Drosophila melanogaster: one gene and its partners. The protein of the gene in region 1 purifies or fractionates together with the protein of each later gene. This does not show direct contact. Each region holds a gene or a part of one and is shown on either strand. Other genes may lie near its edges.

Region 1 (4,872 bases):
ATCTCTTTGCTCCGAGCCCCTGGAACTGTCCAACTTTTACCCGTGGTTCGAGAGGGGAGTTACCCACTGGCTGGATATTTCAATAATTAAGGCATTGAGTCGCATCCAGAAAGCAATTGATTTGGATCAGCTGAAAGCGGTCGATGAAACAGTGAAATACAGCTCCTCGGCAGTGGACACACTTTCCATATTCTACCAAATCAAGATATTTTGGCAACAACTTGACTGGCCAGAGGTCGAGGGTTCCTACATCTTCGTAGCCAAAATCGTCAATGTGAGATTGAATACAAATATAGTTATGTTATCTTTACTAATTATTATAATTTTACAGGATCTTTGTCGCTGCTGCATATTTTATGCCCAACAGATGTCCCGCAGAGTTGAGAATATTTTTATTGCTGATGATAACAATAAAAATTTCAGTAAGTTCTATTGGAAACCATTTTTTATCATATATTGTTTGTATTGAATTTATTTATTTTATAGTTTTGTCGGAGGAGTGGTGCATAGCGATAAACAACATGGATTACATCCGGCAGAGCTTACCTTCATTCATAAAGGTAGAGGTTTTATTTACCTAAATCAAACAAATTTATTGAAAACAAATAATTTATTTCAGGAACTTAGCATTGATGACATTATCAAGAGATTGGGGGAGTATCGAACTAACTTAGAGGCTGAGAGATGCGCAAGCACCATCAAAACTGTCATTGAAAATGCATTGGACACCGAACGCAATCAGATTGTTGAGCTCATAGAGATTGTGGCCAGGAAAATGGCACCGCCAATTAGACGATACTTGGCCGAAGGTGCTGAGGTGCTCGCCAAGGACTCCAACTCCATGGACCAGTTAATGATGTACCTGGAATCCTCATTGGCCACACTCTACGATACTCTCAATGAGATTAATTTCCAGAGGATACTGGATGGCATTTGGTCAGAGTTATCCATTATAATGTATGATCTAATTCAATCAAATCTTGACGTAAGTTCTGACCTATCAAGTATGAAACAATATAAAAAGAAATTGATTATCTTTTTAGAAACGCCGACCACCAGCTTTCTTCCAAAATTTGAACAATACTCTTCAGACAATGATGGACTGCTTTAAAATGGGCAACCTTCAAACTTCAGACATAAAAATATTGTCTTCAATTCAAAGTCGACTAAGGCTTTATTCCCTGGAGACATCGGATCTTATTCATCAGTATTACTTGGAGCGTCTAGAAAACCAAAAGAGCCAAGAGTCATCTCCATATGGACAACTTACCATCACGGCTCAGTTAACTGATACCGGCTTATTGGTAGGACTTCAATCATTTGAAACATAAAATCCGCTTAATGAGTTAAATATCTTATAGTTAAATATCTTAAATGCTCGCAATCTGCTGCCAATGGATTCAAATGGTTCGGTGGACTCATTTGTTAAGGCCAGTTTCATGCCCACAAGTCGATTCAACGACGTACCCACTGTGAAGACCAACGTGCACAACAAAAGTTGTTTTCCGCTTTACGATCAGGAGTTTCGTATGTAAGTAGTTACTTTTTAATTTATGCATCCATATATAAATATACCTTCATTCGGCAGAAACTTGAGTGACCACCAGCGAAGTGAAAAGAATAGTCTTATTGTATTTAGCATCAAAGATAAAGATTTATTCGGCATGTCGAGCCAGTATATAGCAGAGAGCTATATATCTTTCGCAGATCTGGAAGCGACACCACCGGGCGAGCAAATAATGATGAATCTATCCAGACCAGAGTATACAGGTACCTAATCATACTTTTGGCAGATTAAAACTGGAAACTTATACATGTTATGTGCTTTCAGATTCCGAATCACTGCGTGCCTTGGAATACAGACTAGGTGATAAGCAGGCCAAGGATTTCCTTAAAAAGCTGAAGAACCGATCCTTCTCCTAAATTGTGAAAAGTTATACGTTGTAAAGAAAAGCAATAAAACTGTATTTTTATATTTTCTACGGCAATCGTACTAAAATTTACAAAGTTGCGTTTTGAAATGGGCCCCATTTATGGACTGAAACTTATGAAGAAAAGATTTGCATTGTCTGACAGTTTTAATTACATTTATTGGAACAAAAACCAACGCGGTAATTAGTTACAAATACATAACACTCACTTTTTACGATTAAAGAGTAATTTTCCAGAGTTTCTTTGTAATAAATAATATATAAATGGTATTTGTGTTAAATTATATTATTCGTAAAGGGCTTGATACGTGCATATCAGCATGGTCTAATGGCAAAAACTACTATGGCACAAGTTTTTGCCGATGTGCCTTATTGGCGACGACGTGTGTTGCGTTGCTTATCAAATCGCATTTCCATTTCCTCGAGAACCTTTGGTGTGTAGCGTACCACCAGCTTTACAGATCCGACAGCTTGCTTTAATAGCTCTACGGCCTTCTCGTGGTTTTCTCCTTCGACAGACTGAAATATTGATATTTTGCAAGTTCTTAAGGAGTTAAGGTACATAACTGAATTAATGACTTACCACACCATTCACAGACAAAAGTTGATCTCCCCTTTTCAGACCACCATGCCTGTCAGCCACGCCTCCAGGTATTATTCGGGATATATAGATGGGCGAGTTTTGCTCCTTGCCCCCCATTACATTGAAACCCAAGCCTGAAAAACAAAAATTAAAGATTGATAAAGCTTTCCATATAAGATGTATAATAGAAACATATATTCTCGGTCTATAGACCTTTACAATCAAGGTATTGGTTTTATGATATAGGGGAATCCCCTCGATTCTTAGCTCATAGGGGCGTGTCTTACCCTCCTCCGTTTTCGGGAGCTCGACGACTCTGGGATGAGCGTGCCCCTCGCTGGCTGCGAAGGCTGCCACAGTGGCCTTGGCAGTGGCGGATGCCCTCACGTCGTGGGAGCCCTGGATGTCCACCGTCTCGTAGACGTGCTCGTACACCTCCCGCACGGAGGTCATGAAGTCCGAGTTGAGCACCTTCTGCAGGGCGGCCAGTTTTGTCGTGGGGAAGTCGCCACTCGCTTGCAGCTTTTCCAAGAGCTCTATCGATCTTTTGACATCTGAAAGTTAGAGCATTGGGTGTGAGTTTCCTCCAACTGGGAATGGTTAGCATGCACCCTTACCTCTGGACAAAGTCAGTGGTTCTGCGTTATCGGCCATATTGCTGTTCAATTTAATAATAATCAGTCAAATTGAGCTGACCTGAAATATTATTCGAGCAGCTGAAAATAATATGACCATACGTCTCAGGGGCACAAAATACCATTCCGTGAAATTATATTCTCTATTTGAAATAATTTGGTTTAATAAAATAGTAACAAAAGTTATATTTTTTATATTTAACAATATATCATATACTTATAATCTAATCTCAGTACTTTTCGTTTAAAAAATTATCTTTTGAAACAAACAAGTTTCTTGAAAGTGTGGTATTTTATGCACGTACATCCATGGTCATATTATTTTATATTGATATTATTTCCGCACCGTATTTATTTAAACTAACAATAGAATAATAGCAAAATGAGCCTGCCAGCTGCACTATTGCAGCGCCTGAAGAAGCGCGGACTTGTGACCAAACAGTCGGGTAAATACAAAGACCAGTATAGAATCCAAAAAGAGGATAACCAACTTCAGCTTTCCACAGGAGCAGCACCGATTTCAGAAGCTATAGAAGAGATTATAGCCGAGAACTACGATGACGATGACAAGAGCGGCCCTTACCCGTACAAGGAGGACACATCGCCGGAGCCCAAGCGCAGGAGCGTCGAGGAGAAGTTCTGGTCGCACCGCATCAAGGAGCGGATCGGCGTGAACGAGTCCTACCATGGCTACAAGCTGTGTCCCAACAAATACAACATATACCACAAGTGCTCGCTGTACTGCGTAAACAAGTTCAACAGCTCGCCGCTTTCGCAGCCCAGCCATAGGTATCTCAAGCGCTACAAGAGATTGCTGCGGAAGTATCCACTGGAGGCGGGCTGGAAGGATGTCTACGATAAGGGCTGCAAGGCGTTTTACTTCTATAACTCGACCACACAGACTGTTTCGTGGCTACCTCCTTCGCATCCCAAAGCACGGATCACCAACAGCGCCGCAGTGTTTCGCAGACAACTGGCCAACTCCAACGATGAGTTCAACTTCGATACCAACATGGTTCAGCCCAAGTCTTCTAACCAAAATGAACCCGACGAGCCCGACGTATTCGTTCCCGCCAAGAAGCAAAAGTCCAGGGACCTGGAACGAAAAATCCAACGACGTCGCCGTAATGATAACTAGCACTACTAACTAGCCATTTGACTTATGAGCTGTAGATCGCTACTGTTCAAATAAAAATGAATAACTATGATAGATATTAAGGTTTAAAAATGTACACTCTGCTTTATTGAATTGCTAGCTTAAGACAATGAATGGTGGAGCCGCGAACAGATTTAAATCGAAGGAACCGGAAATTTTACGAAAGCAGCAACTCGATAAAATTGTGTCGCACGAGTCGGGAAGTATGTGAAAGTTGAATTTGAGGCGGCGATTAAAGCCCTCAACATGAGGATGCGGTGGACACACTTTCACCAAACTATGTGCTATGTGTAAAGTGTTTTAACCAAGTTATATATATTGGTGAAAGATCAATACAATTATTTTTTTTTTGGGTTTATTTCAAGGTTCGTTTTCCCTTAACAACAACCGGTCGGTTTCGTATGTAGCCCTTGCGACGCTTAGAGTTCTGCAAAGAATCAGATTGTTAATGAAGTTCATTGGGAGCTGCAGGGTACACTACCTTTCTCGAAATGAAGTTTGCTGGAGGAATCGTTCTCTCCTTGGTCTTCAGTGATGGTCTATTGAACTCATGCGGCTTCTTCACCC
Region 2 (6,086 bases), about 18 Mb from region 1:
TTGCCAGTGTGTGTGGCCTGTGTTTGTTGTTGTCGCCAACAGCCACCCCAAATGGGATACACCCCAGGCGGGAGTTGGGCGGAATGTGCCTCCCCCAGCGGATGACGCATCATTACAAATGCTTCTTCACCGCACTTGCCTCAGATGTCATCGCCTGGGAGGCGACCTCTTTTCCGCCATAAGCGAGGCAAAAAATCATTACGAAACTAATATTTGTCATTTGCATCTTGGATGCGAGGAAGTGTGTTTTATAGATGATATGTAAAGCATATTATTTTCATATATACATATAACCCACTTTCTATTAACTTAATTAGTTTCTTAATTGACCACTCTGACTATTGGCACTTTATATCACCAAAGGACTTTATTGTTTGAACTGTAGTCAATGGTCAATGCCCAAACGCACTTTTTGAGCCCACTGTGCGAACGCCTAACACAAAAACGGAGAAATGAACAATGGCAAAAACAACAACGAAAGTGCGACAGCCACAAAACGCGCAATTACAGTTAACGGCAAAGTTAAAAAGTTGAGGGCAGCGCAGCAAGAAAAATAGATGAGTTTCTATATACATACATACATACATATGTGTGTAGAGAAACCGTCGATAAGGTGGCAGAAGGGCAGAACAAATGGGTCTCTCGTTTTCACTCCACTTCGCCAAGATTTGCCAGTGGTGGGGTGATGTCGGATGACGGGCGTCATTGTGCCGGGCGTCACATCCGCAAGTGGCGTGACTGAATTTGTAGTCTAGGGTACTCGTATTTCCGACCGCATCTGATTCACTTTTCATTGTTATGCATTGCAGTCACTGAAACCACAACCAGCAGCGACAAAATGACATCCACCGAGCTGAAAATCGGCCTGACCACCAGTGCCCGTCCCTCCAGCCGAGTGCTGAAGCCCCCAGGCGGCGGACACACCAATATCTTCTCGGAGCCCGACGTGGCCGTTCCCGCCCCGCGTGCCAAGTACAACCAACAGAACTCCTCAAACCTCAATGCCTGCATGGGCTCCACGGATCCCAACAAGGTGGTGGAGAAAATTCGCGAAGAGGTCTCCATCCAGAAGGAGGAGGCCAAGTCCGCCCCACCCAGCCAGCCCAAGGAGCCGGCGAACAAACCAGCGGCCACAAATGGAGAGGCACGCGGCCGAGTTCCACCCGGCGGATTCTCGTCGGGCGGATTCTGGTAGAGGGAGGAAGGAGGGAAGGAAGTGTGCCCGGGAGCAGAAGCAGCTGCCAAGCATTTAATGACTCACCATCACATCCTCAGACCGACATAAGAATCATAAAACTATAAATATACATAACTCGCTTATAACATACGTATACACCTATATTTAGAGGCGCATTACCTATATTAACCTGCTGATCAGCCGAAGAAGAAGGGAAACTGATTATATTTTGCCAAGCAGCACTCCAAGTCGTTCTTCCTTTCGCCCTTTCATTTTCATGTCCCACATTTGTTCTATTGTCTAAGTAACAGGTTTAAAATGTCTAACGAAATTGTTGAAATTAAGTAACTCGTGATTCCGCCCCACAAATACGGATGATATGGATTGACTTTGCTAAAATCTACCACCTACTAAGCCTAATTTAGCATTTGTACTTAAAGTGTCCAATCGAATCTTCTTATAGTCTGTAAAATTCGTCCAAACGAATACCAATATAACCATCGATGTATTACTCCAAATAAAACATTTAATTGTAAGTGATGGCTCTTTTATTTTTGCAAGTTGATGGAGATTCTTCGGAGTCCGCCGCCGCCTAGTAATTAAACAATACTCCTAGCCTATTGAGTCAGTAAATACAATTCGATTTGGTCACGAAATTAATTCTAGTATTTATTACAATTCAGTTTAATTTGACAAGGTCCATCAATTTATCGTCGAACTTGATAAAGCGCATTTCTAAATACAATAAATACAGCATCAAATGTATTTCAGTTATCTTAACATCCGCCGCATTGGCAAAACTAACAATTAATGGATAAATGCGCAAGTGGTTGATTGATTTGATGTCCGATGCTTTCAAAGATCTGCTCCTGGGCGCGGCGTTGTCGATGCGTTTGCATTTATGTACCATGCGGGGGGTGTCCATATGGTAGGCTTAAAACTATAGATTGGGCTGCTCTTCTATTCTTGTTAGACTAATTCAGACTATTCACTATTTAGATCTTCATGTCGTTGATGTATGAGTCCAGTTCGGCGTCCAGCTCCTCAGCAGTGGGCGGGGCCTTGCGCTCCCGTCGCTGGCCGCCTGCCGCCGGCTTGCCACCGACCGGACGTTTGAAGCCGCGACGCGCCGTGCCACCAGCTTGGCCACCTAAAAAACAGTTCGGAATGATAGTGTAAGCATTGGAGCAAGGATGGATCGTCATGGGACCGTATCATGGTCATTATAGAAAGGTAAGCTTTCATATGTGGAACTGACCTAGTAACGTAGTTTACCCAACAAACATCGTATTAAATCGAAACAAAAGTTTGAATAATTACAAAAGCTGTTGACAAGAAAACATAACAAAGAAAGGAAAGTATTTCGTATAAAAAGTCAAGTAACAAAATTTGAAACCTAAGACATACTAGGTAATCGAAATAAATAGGCATTTAAAAATCTTTGTGGGAATGGGGATAGATCCAAAATTGATCTGAAATAGTTTTAAATGAACGATGTTTGTGGTAAAAATAAACGAAAATGGGCATCATTCACGGTCCCTGCTGTAGCATTTTGGATACGCACCACCACGCTTGAATGAAGTTGGTGCAGTACCACCCACGCGACGCTTGACATCGGTGGCGGCTACGGGACGGGTCAACACGGCCACGTCTGAGACGGCCAGCTGAATGGTCATAGGGCGTCCGTCCAAAGGTACGCCATGGTACTGTTTAATGGCCTTCAAGGCGTCGGCGCGACGTTCGAAAATCACGTCAGCGGTGCCTGCAAAGAAAAGTGAATAAATCAAATACATGGCAATAGCTTTAAATTTCGGCATAAATCAAAATACTAAATAAAAACCGCAGCTTCATCGGATGATCTGATCTGTTATCAATTCAAGCCGATTTATATTACTTGGAATGTCTGTTACTGAACCATTCTGCCGCCATTTTATGAACAGCATGTACCGAAATGTTTCACCTAACGACAGGTAGCTGGAGTAGTACTAGCACTTACCCAACGAGCGACCGGAGCGATCGTAGTGCACTGCCGCCTTCTTTATCGGACCAAAGTCGTTGAAGAGCTCCTTGATGTCCGTGTTGGATACGCCGTAGTCCAGGTTACCGACGATGAGGCGGGTGGGTCCAGATCCTCCACCGACGGCACCCCTCTTCGGTCCGTCGTACATATCGTGCTTCCAAGCGCTGTTCACATCGCCCTAGAGGTGGGGGTAGTATTAGGTAGAAGGTAGATGGGTATGTCTTCGAACGCTGCGCGTATCAACTATATGTATGTGGCGGGAGTAGCCGTTGCAGTAGCAGTTGCATCGTATCCTAGCCACAAGAGAGGACAGCCATATTGAGCGGAGACACTAGAAATGCTTGTTAACTGGGTATGGTTCACGTGGAAAACGTGAGGCGTGAGACGTGAGGAAAAATAAGTTAAGACACAGGTGTCGTCTGTTTGGTATTCTGTAAAAACGGGGTTAAAGGAACTTGAACTTGAGGCTCTGCTCGGGCTCGAAGAGTTGTTCCGTCCGTTGGAAGGCGCATGGTGGCCATTTTGATTTTGGTTTAGATTCTGAGTCTGTTTTTCGCTTCCAAGCACTGTTGTGCGGATCATGGGCCGCAAGACACTTGCTTTGGTAGTGCTCTGTCCTGGTGAACTGAGCACGGGGATGGTCTGCTCCGGCTGCTCCGTTTGGCCATTGAAACGCAATGAATTACCCGTGGGAACTTGGCCTTCTGAACGGCTCCGGCGGCCACTCCTCCTCGCGGGCCCTTGAGCACGCTTCCTGGCTTCCTGGGCGAGCCGCCGGCATTGGCTCCGCCGCGGCGGGCTCCACCAGCAAAACGCTGCTGTCCGCCCGTTTTTCGGGCGCCACCTGGTCCGCCGCGGGCGGCTTGCGGCTTTTTTTGCGAGCGTGTGGACTTAATGATGTCGTCGAGGCTCATTTCAATTTTGTCCACCATCTTGCTTATTGCGTGCTGTATTGACTACTTGGAGATCGTTTAAAGTCAAGGGAAAGATTGGGTCTCTGCTTGCTACTGAAGAATGTGTTTAAAGCGTTTTTTTTTTAAGGAGGAGCGCGTGGAATTTCACAAAACTTTGCAAAAACGACGCACACAGATCTACACAATCGCCATATTGGTTCAGAGGAAAAAAGTGTTGAATAACGGTGTGCGTCAAGATAACGACGACAACGAGTTGTCAACGAAAATGAAACGGCGAAATAGGGTAAATACGGAAATTATATAAACATAAAATATAACATAACATTAAAAATTATTATAATTCATATTCACGAAATATCCTAATAATATGGGAAATATCCACTTTTGAAAATGTTTAGAACCATAATAAATATGTGATTATAATAATGTTGTGATTAAATGTTGTGATTAAAATGACTATGATCTTGGAAAATTATTTGGAATGATTACCTCCCATCTAAGTTTTTTTTTTCTCTCTTTTTATTTACAATCTGTCTTAAAAAAGTATGACAATAAGTACATTTTATAATTAATCTTATATTAACAGAGGCAGTAGTTATCCATTAATCCCTACTACATACTCTAGGCATAACATGTTTTAATACTTAAAACCTGTCAGGGAGGTCTAGCACGTAAAATCTTTTAAGTCTTCTGACGTTGTTATTACGTTTTACCAAACTTAAGGCTAAGTTATTTTCATGTGTTCTTAGTCTGTCTATATATTTTTTAATATGTTTTGCTATTTCTTCTTTAACATAAGGGATTCCTAAGTCTTTATGGATACTTGCATTTGAAATAAAAATTGAGCATCAACAATTTGTCTTAATATTTTTGATTGGTAGCGTTGTAGAATCTAAATATTTGAATTGCTGGTATAAGTTTAGTATGGCTTTGTATAAACGGACTTTATTTTCCAGAGTGGTTGCAGATTTTCGGCAACCAGCAACCAGGTCATCTTCAAACTTTTTAGATTTAGTTGCTGGCGCTTTGCTTTTATGTGTTTTTTCACGTTAGTCTGGGATCGAGGTGCAAGCCAAGGTACTTTATGCAATTACTTTGTGGGCAGTCATCTCTTCTTAATGCAAAAGTTATTTGCGCAGATTTCAGGGCGTTGACATTAATTTTCCAAAGAAGAAACCAGCGTAGCTCTGCTTGCAGGAGTTGTGAGGCTTCTTTAGATGAGCTGGTAGCATTTCAAATTAAAAAAAAAAAATTAAATTTTAATTTTGAAGAAAATTTTCAACATTTAGCTTATAAACAACTTAATCTTAATCTAATCCGAAAATCTCAAATGGAAATACAAATTTCTTGATTGGGATACAGCCTAGTTATACCCGTTACTTGTAGAGTAAGAGGGTATACTAGATTCGTTGAAAAGTATCTAACAACTAGAAGGAAGTGCTTCCGACTATATAAAGTATATATATTCTTGATTAGGAACAATAGACGAGTCGATCTAGCCATGTCCGTGGAGATCTCAGGAACTATAAAAGCGAGAAGGTTCAGATTCAGCATACAGCCTCTAGAGACATAGACCATGTTGCCACGCCCACTCTTACGTTCTCAAGCCGTAAAAAACGCCACGCTCAAACTTTTGAACAATTCTTCGAATTTTTTCAAAATTCTATTAGCCTTGTAAATTTCTATCGATTTGCCGAAAAACTTTTTACCACGCCGCTCTAACGCCCTAAAGACGCAATTGAAAAATTTTTGCTCATTTTATTCCCCTAGATATTAGATCCCTCCCAGAAAAATGTTGAAATTTCGTGTTCGCATTTACACTAACTGGTATCTGTGAACTCGACTATAGCATTCTCTTGTGCTTTTATTATAAATACAACCATAACCGTTTTATTTTGTTTTTTAGGAACAGTTACGCAGAAGTGGCCCACAGTGCCCGCGAGTTTCAGTATTTTAAAAATAATTATTTAAACGC
Region 3 (7,421 bases), on another chromosome or scaffold:
ATCCATGGTTAAAAAACTTTTATATTCGAAATAAACAAATTTTGAAAATTTAGAAATTTTTCAATGATTTTGTCCGGTTACTCGAAAGATATGAAAAGAAACCTAACCGAAACGGGTGAAAATAGTTTATGAAAACCCGAAACCATAATCATGGCATACTTTTTTTTAGATTTGCGTTTCAAGTTTTGAAATTGGTATTGGTATATCTTGAAATATATATTTTTATATTATTCAGACTTCGAGAACATATGAGTCTCGTCTATTCAAGGTGATCACATTGCTGCGTCATTCGCAAAGTCTTCAAAATATGATTCATCCGATTTAGAATAAACAACACCTTATCATTAGAAGTATACATTAATGCAAAATGTTGTTCAAATGTTTAGTTGCTAATCAAAAGAAAATGATTTCTTTTATAAATGCATAATCTTATTGCTTTTTAGAAACTCAAATAAAAAAAAACCCATTTTATTGCAAACCTTCCGTTTACTTTCATTCATTTTCTGTAATGTCCTTTTATTCCTTTTATAATTATTTTGTAGAAATCAAGTTTTGATAACTTTTTTCAAGTTACCCCAAAAATATTAGCCAACTAATGAACTGCTCACGCATCGCTTTTCCTAATTGGGAATTACGGCTCCCATGGGAAATCCTCTACAGGTGTTGTGTTCACCCAAAGGATATTTCACTGGTTAGTCTGCTCGTAGAACATGAAGTTTTTGGTTGGATTGCTGCTCCAATGGTATCTTCCTGGCATTTATGCCCTTGCCGAGATTGCCTGTCGCATAGCCGTAGAGCAGAATGTCCAGGTGACCTATCTGTACCGCTGTGCCAGCTGCCCGGCATCCTTCGATGCGGATTACTCTGCCTTGGAATTGGATCTCTATCGGTGTGTGGGCAGTAGACTGCCCGTAATCACACGGAACATGGAAGCACATGAGCTGGAACCATTTAGACGAACGGACAGCCTAAGCATCTTTCAAATTCCGGCTGCCGAAAAGGGTGATTCCTTGGTACGCCGCATCCTGGACATGTTGAATCCTCACCAGAGGCGCAAGCATATGCACAAGTATCTGTTTGTTTGGCCAAATGCCGGAAGGCATCAGTTACTGCGACTTTTTCGCGGCAGTTGGGCCAAGAAGCTGCTCTACGGATTGGCCATTACCGGCAGGGAAAATGGCACCTTTGACTTTGATCCCTTTGCTTGGGGTGGTCTCCAAGTGATTCAGCGGCTGGATGGCGAAGTGCCGTACGCAAGAAAGGTGAAGGACTTGCGCGGCTACCCATTGCGTTTCTCCATGTTTACGGATCCGTTGATGGCGATGCCCAGGAGTCCTGTGGAGACAGCTGGCTATCAGGCAGTGGATGGAGTGGCGGCCCGAGTTGTTGGCGAGATGTTGAATGCCTCAGTAACATATGTCTTCCCGGAGGATAACGAATCCTACGGTCGTTGCCTTCCGAATGGAAACTACACCGGCGTGGTCAGCGACATAGTCGGTGGTCACACCCACTTTGCACCCAATTCCCGCTTCGTGCTCGACTGCATTTGGCCAGCGGTTGAGGTGCTGTATCCCTATACCCGTCGCAACCTGCACCTGGTCGTGCCCGCCTCCGCAATCCAGCCGGAGTACCTGATCTTCGTGCGTGTCTTTCGGCGAACTGTGTGGTACTTGCTCTTGGTCACCCTTTTGGTTGTGGTGCTGGTCTTCTGGGTGATGCAACGTCTGCAGCGAAGAATTCCCCGTCGCGGAGTCATCCAGTTTCAGGCAACGTGGTATGAGATTCTCGAGATGTTCGGCAAGACACATGTGGGTGAACCGGCGGGCAGGCTATCCTCCTTCAGCTCGATGAGAACGTTCCTCATGGGTTGGATCCTCTTCAGCTACGTCCTGTCCACCATCTACTTTGCCAAACTGGAGTCCGGATTTGTGCGACCAAGCTACGAGGAGCAGGTGGACCGAGTGGACGATTTGGTACATTTGGATGTGCACATTTATGCGGTGACCACGATGTATGACGCAGTTAGGAGCGCCCTGACGGAGCACCAATACGGTCTGCTGGAGAACCGTAGTCGCCAGCTGCCACTGGGAATAGCCACATCCTATTACCAGCCGGTGGTCCGGCGCAGGGATCGACGAGCGGCCTTTATCATGCGGGATTTTCACGCCCGTGACTTTCTGGCCATCACCTATGACTCGCAGGCAGAGCGACCAGCCTACCACATCGCCCGGGAATATCTGCGCTCTATGATATGCACCTACATCCTACCAAGAGGATCGCCCTTTCTGCACCGCTTGGAATCTCTGTACAGTGGCTTCCTCGAGCACGGCTTCTTTGAGCACTGGCGTCAAATGGATCTGATCACCCGGGTTGGTGCGTCGCCGGATGCTGAGGAGTTTCTCGAGGATCTGGGCGACCAGACGGACACGGATTCCGGCTCCAACGAGTTGGCGATTCGTAACAAAAAGGTGGTTCTCACTCTGGACATCCTGCAGGGCGCCTTCTATCTCTGGTCCGTGGGGATTGGCATAAGCTGCTTGGGATTTGCAGTGGAGCACGCTCATTGGTTTTGGCGGAGACAGACACTTCGGAATGCGGTTGAAGCTAGAACAAGCTAACTAAAAATATTAAAAATTACTAAATAAAAGGTACATATATGTTTGTTATTGTAAATACTATACTAAGTTTTCAATAAATTTCACCGCTGTTTAGTTGGACATGTTGTTTTATACATTTTAATGATAAAACTGTAGTTTTATATTATTCTAACCATTTAATGAATTTAACCATTTATTCCAATTAACCTTTCTTGTAAATTTAAATGTAACGGCTTTTTATGTTGTTATGGCTTAACATTCCGCGCGTAACAGCACACTGGAGACCCCCAGTATCAGAGCATCGATAGCACCCATCGATAGTCCGATCACCAGCAACCCTGCCTCCGGCTGTCATGTTTCACTTCCGGAGCTTGCGAACAAAATAGAATCGCTAAGGCAAAGAAAACCCTGCGAGTGGCGAGTGTTTTAAGATCACACTCAAAAACAACATCCAAAGTGGTTAGTGGCAGTTGAGAGAGTGCCCAAGACCCCGAATACCAGCCGGGCAGACACGAACAACACCAGCAGCAGCAGCACCACCATCATCAACAGCAGCAGCAGCATTTCCCGCTTTTCGTTTTCGTCGTCGCCGAACAACAAATAACAAAACCACGACAAACGATGGCTGATGCCGCGGAGAGTAAGCCACTGGCCGCCGAACAGCAGCAGGCGCAGCAGCAGCCGGAGCAGCAGCAGAATCCGCCGAATCCGCAGGAGCAGGATCACGAGCAGGAGCCGCTGGACGAGCTGCAGGGACAGCAGGGCCAGCCCGCTCCGCCCACCAAGGAAGTCATCGGTAAGGCTGAAACTCGCATGTTAAACCCAATTCCCAACCAATTTCATTCATGTGCCGCGAACACATGGCGGCTGCTACCAAAATAGCAATGAAAAAAAGGAGGAAAAAAGAACAAGAAACATGCCTCCCTGTATGCGTGTGTGTGTGTGTGTTTTGAGTCTTAAAATATACGCGCGTCGGCCATTTTGTGCGGCCAAAGGCAACGCAACGCATGTATATATGTATGTGCACGAACGCTCGCGCCGCCGGCTAACCAAATTGAAAATTCTGCCTTTTGCCGGTCGTCTGTCTTTCCACCCACCCAACCACCAACCCCACCCGCTTCGCCTCTTTAAAAAATGCCCCCCCATAGGTGTACACACACACACACATACACACATGCAGAGCGAGCCAGGGCAACCCAATTTGTTAATGCGCGCGCAGCGGGAGTGCGAACGAGAGGGCAGACAGCCGGGTGTGGATGTGTGTGTTCATTGTTTTGGTACATCTATTTGCACACACACACTAAAACGCATGGAAGCATGGCTATAAGGCGATTTCAAAACACGAGACCATAATGCAACCAATAAGATACAATAATATTCGGCGACTATTACAATATATTGCCAAATAATTTGGGATGCCACTATATTTTCGCGTAAATCAACATATTATATGCATACTTATATGGTTTATTCGAAATTTTGGTAACCATAGTTTTAAATAATTGTTAACCAATAATTTGTGGTTATAAAACGTCTTTCAATGTTATTGCACGCTTCAATGAGTTTTCAAACTGCGTATTAGTTTAGTTTCAGATGTATTGCGTTTTGCCCCTCCTTTATAATAAAAAAAAAATGCAAAGTATTATCTCAAAACTACCCCTTTTGTATAATTTAAGTTTCTTATGTAGAATTATTTGTATTTTAGAAGTCAGCTCGCTGTGCATCCCTACTGTTCCCTAATATTTTTGTTGCATGTATAATGTTTAAAGGATTATAATATTTGATAAAGGAATGATTGCAACTGATCCCAAACAAGTATTATACCATTGAAATCAATTAAATGATCACACGTTTGTAGAATAAGTACCGCCAAAAATATTGAATCCCACTATTATCCCCAATTGTTTATAATTTCTACTCTTTCCCATTGCAGCCACCAAAGTCACCGGCACCGTCAAGTGGTTCAACGTGAAGAGCGGCTACGGCTTCATCAACCGCAACGACACCAGAGAGGATGTCTTTGTGCACCAGAGCGCCATTGCGCGGAACAACCCCAAAAAGGCGGTCCGCTCGGTGGGCGACGGTGAGGTCGTTGAGTTCGACGTGGTCATTGGTGAGAAGGGCAACGAGGCGGCCAACGTGACCGGTCCCTCCGGTGAGCCGGTGCGGGGCAGTCAGTTTGCAGCGGACAAGCGCCGTAACTTCCGTCCCTGGATGAAGAAGAATCGCCGCAAGGATGGCGAAGTGGAAGGCGAAGACGCCGAATCGTCGGCCCAGCAGCAACAGCAGCAGGCGGCACCAATCGTTGACGGGCAGCCGCAGCAGCAGGTGCAGTCCGGCCCGCGTCAACCACGACAGAACTTCCGCCGAGGACCACCCGGTGGACCGCCCGGAGGACCTCGAGGTGGCCCCCGAGGACCGCCTGGTGGAGCTCCCGGTGGCCCCCGGCGCTACAACAACTATTATCTGCGTCAGCCGAGACGCGGCCTGGGCGGCGGTGACGGCAGCGCCGAGCCCGGTGTCCACGATCAGAATCCCGAGGGTCTGCAGCGCGGCGAGGGTCAGGGACCACGTCGCGGTGGAGGCCCACCGGGCGGACCCCAGAGGCGCTTCTTCCGACGCAACTTCAACAATGGTCCACCGCCACCACGCCGCGACGGCGGAGAATACAGTGAGTGAACTTTGTGCTATTAGATAATTGGTATATATTATTATTAATATTATTCTGTTGCAGTTCAAGGCCAGGGACCGCCACGCCCACAACAGCCACGTCCACGTCGCCAGAGGAAACCAAATGGCCCTGGCGGTGGTTCGGAGCAGCAGCCAGAGAAGGTAATGAACTAATCACCAGCATCATCACAACAGCAGAAACAACTGAAACATCTTCGCCGAAACAAACCTACGATAACAACATCTAAATTAGTAAACATCAGCAACAGTCAGTCGCAAGCATAACAACAAGGTCTACAATAATAACATGGTGAAGGCGTCTTAAAAACTAAACAACTAACTAAAGTGCATTGTGTAGATGCATTCGTAAATAACCACTAACAACCAGAGCAGCCACACGCACCGACACCAAAAGCAGAGAAACAGCGATAAAGCGGAGAAACCACCCTAACATTTAACACTTTACACTTAACTTGGAGGCTTTGGGTCTAACATAACATTCTAATACATTTAGTTTTTAGTTACCTAACCTGTGACTAATTGGCTAACAAGCAACACACACACACTTAATTTACAACCGAAACCAGCATTTTGCTTTCATCCCTTCGATTTATTTTTGAAGTTGTACTTACGTTAATGATTTCTACCCCCCTCGCCATGTTTTCCCATGTTCAAATTCCTAGAACGGCGCTCAAGAGCTGCAAAATACAACCACAGAGAGCACTGCATAGAAAAGGATCCGAAAGGATCTAAATCGTCAACCGACAAACAAAAACATCGTCAGCAGTAGCCGCAGTATATAACTACAATCGCAGAAAAACAGCAGCAGCAGCCCATCCTCAACATCAGCGACCAATGCAACATCATGGTGCAATAAGATCAGCAAATGTTGCAGCAAATTTTGCTAAATGAGCCGCCGCGTTTTTTCGGTTTGTTTGCTTTTTGTTTAGTTTCGTAGGGCAGAGAATCAATTGTACAACTCATACCACAACAAAACTAACATCCTCAAAATTTCAATCAAATTCAAAAACAAACAAAAAATTGTATAAAATTTCCATCAAGCCTGGCCGTCGTCAAAAAATTGCATAATTGTGGAATTTTTATTGTATGAACCAACAAACCAAACACGAAAACATAAATAAATTTCAATTACACTGCAATTTAGATGGCGCCGGTATACAATTTACTTTAATGATTATTACCATTTTTTATTTATTTATTCTTGAAAGCATTGTTACCCGTTGTGCGTTAAGCAAACCCATAACTCTAAGTTACTCGATTTAAAGATCATTAAAAACGTAAACCTATACCAATAACCACACCACCACTTTGTCCCATTTATGCATCATCCGAAATCGAGAACCATAGCCATCGGGCGAAAAGAAATGAAAGCAAAGCAGAGCAAACAAACAGAAGAACGAAATCATGTAAATCACAGCAAACAAACATACAAAAAAAAACTGTAAAAGATGCAAAAATATACAACAAACGCAAGATGGCAACAAAGGAAAGTAAAAAAAAAAACTTTAAAAACGTATTGGAAAAAATAAAAAAATTGAAAAACACTTTTTGGTATTGTTTATTTGTGTAAATTCTAAACTAAAGTGTAGTTTATAAATGTTTACTTAAATCGCTATCGAATATATTATTTTATATATTTATTCTAATTTTTATTATTTATTTATTGGGGATCTACGTTAAGTGAGCAAATCATTGAGTCTGCAATATAAATAAATTCTTAAGCTAATTTACATATGCGGTATTGGCATGGTGAGGTGCTACAGGTTTGTGGTCAAGGATGTGACCGTGGAAATGCTCAGTCGCTCCAGACGACCCAAGACCAGTAGTTCATCTATGGAGCGCTTGGCGTAGAACTTTTGGTCCTCGTTCAGCCGCAGGAAGGCGTGAGCCCAGGCTTTGGCATAGGATTCCGCTTCGGAAATGGCATTGGCATCGAACTGGGCGACACTTTCCGTTGGCTTGGGTTCGATTGCCTCACCGCCAGCATCGGATGTAGTATGTTGGATGTCACATAGGTCCAGCTCGATGGGCACCTGATCTTCCGCCTCCACAATCTCAATCTCGTCTTCCGGCTCCTCTGGTTCAGTCGACAAGTTCTCCTCGGAGAAGAGCTTCAGCAGGGGTCTGGAGTGG

What was found.
Region 2: the proteins of PQBP1 (region 1) and Ref1 purify together in Drosophila melanogaster (affinity purification with mass spectrometry, with the first as the bait; one study listed by BioGRID). This does not show direct contact.
Region 3: the proteins of PQBP1 (region 1) and yps purify together in Drosophila melanogaster (affinity purification with western blotting; one study listed by BioGRID). This does not show direct contact.

What each region holds. Positions count from the first base shown.
Region 1 is NT_033777.3:25,062,347-25,067,218, forward strand, and holds PQBP1 (Poly-glutamine tract binding protein 1), read left to right. Parts: upstream 1-3,444; 5' UTR 3,445-3,531; coding exon 3,532-3,595; intron 3,596-3,655; coding exon 3,656-4,287; 3' UTR 4,288-4,372; downstream 4,373-4,872. Other genes in the region: stac (staccato), read left to right, coding at 1-274, 332-422, 487-560, 620-985, 1,044-1,304, 1,362-1,531, 1,589-1,770, 1,832-1,923; veli, read right to left, coding at 2,301-2,450, 2,515-3,068, 3,132-3,168; Stt3B (catalytic subunit 3B of the oligosaccharyltransferase complex), read right to left, coding at 4,661-4,732, 4,787-4,872.
Region 2 is NT_033777.3:7,076,081-7,082,166, forward strand, and holds Ref1 (RNA and export factor binding protein 1), read right to left. Parts: upstream 4,308-6,086; 5' UTR 4,130-4,307; coding exon 3,884-4,129; intron 3,376-3,883; coding exon 3,174-3,375; intron 2,940-3,173; coding exon 2,742-2,939; intron 2,328-2,741; coding exon 2,173-2,327; 3' UTR 1,824-2,172; downstream 1-1,823. Other genes in the region: CG1943 (uncharacterized protein), read left to right, coding at 839-1,195.
Region 3 is NT_037436.4:12,120,684-12,128,104, reverse strand, and holds yps (ypsilon schachtel), read left to right. Parts: upstream 1-2,954; 5' UTR 2,955-3,218; coding exon 3,219-3,393; intron 3,394-4,530; coding exon 4,531-5,268; intron 5,269-5,331; coding exon 5,332-5,429; coding exon of another isoform or gene 5,430-5,441; exon of another isoform or gene 5,442-5,950; coding exon 5,951-5,998; 3' UTR 5,999-6,425; downstream 6,426-7,421. Other genes in the region: CG34241 (uncharacterized protein), read right to left, coding at 1-6; Ir68b (ionotropic receptor 68b), read left to right, coding at 711-2,618; CG11560 (uncharacterized protein), read right to left, coding at 7,046-7,421.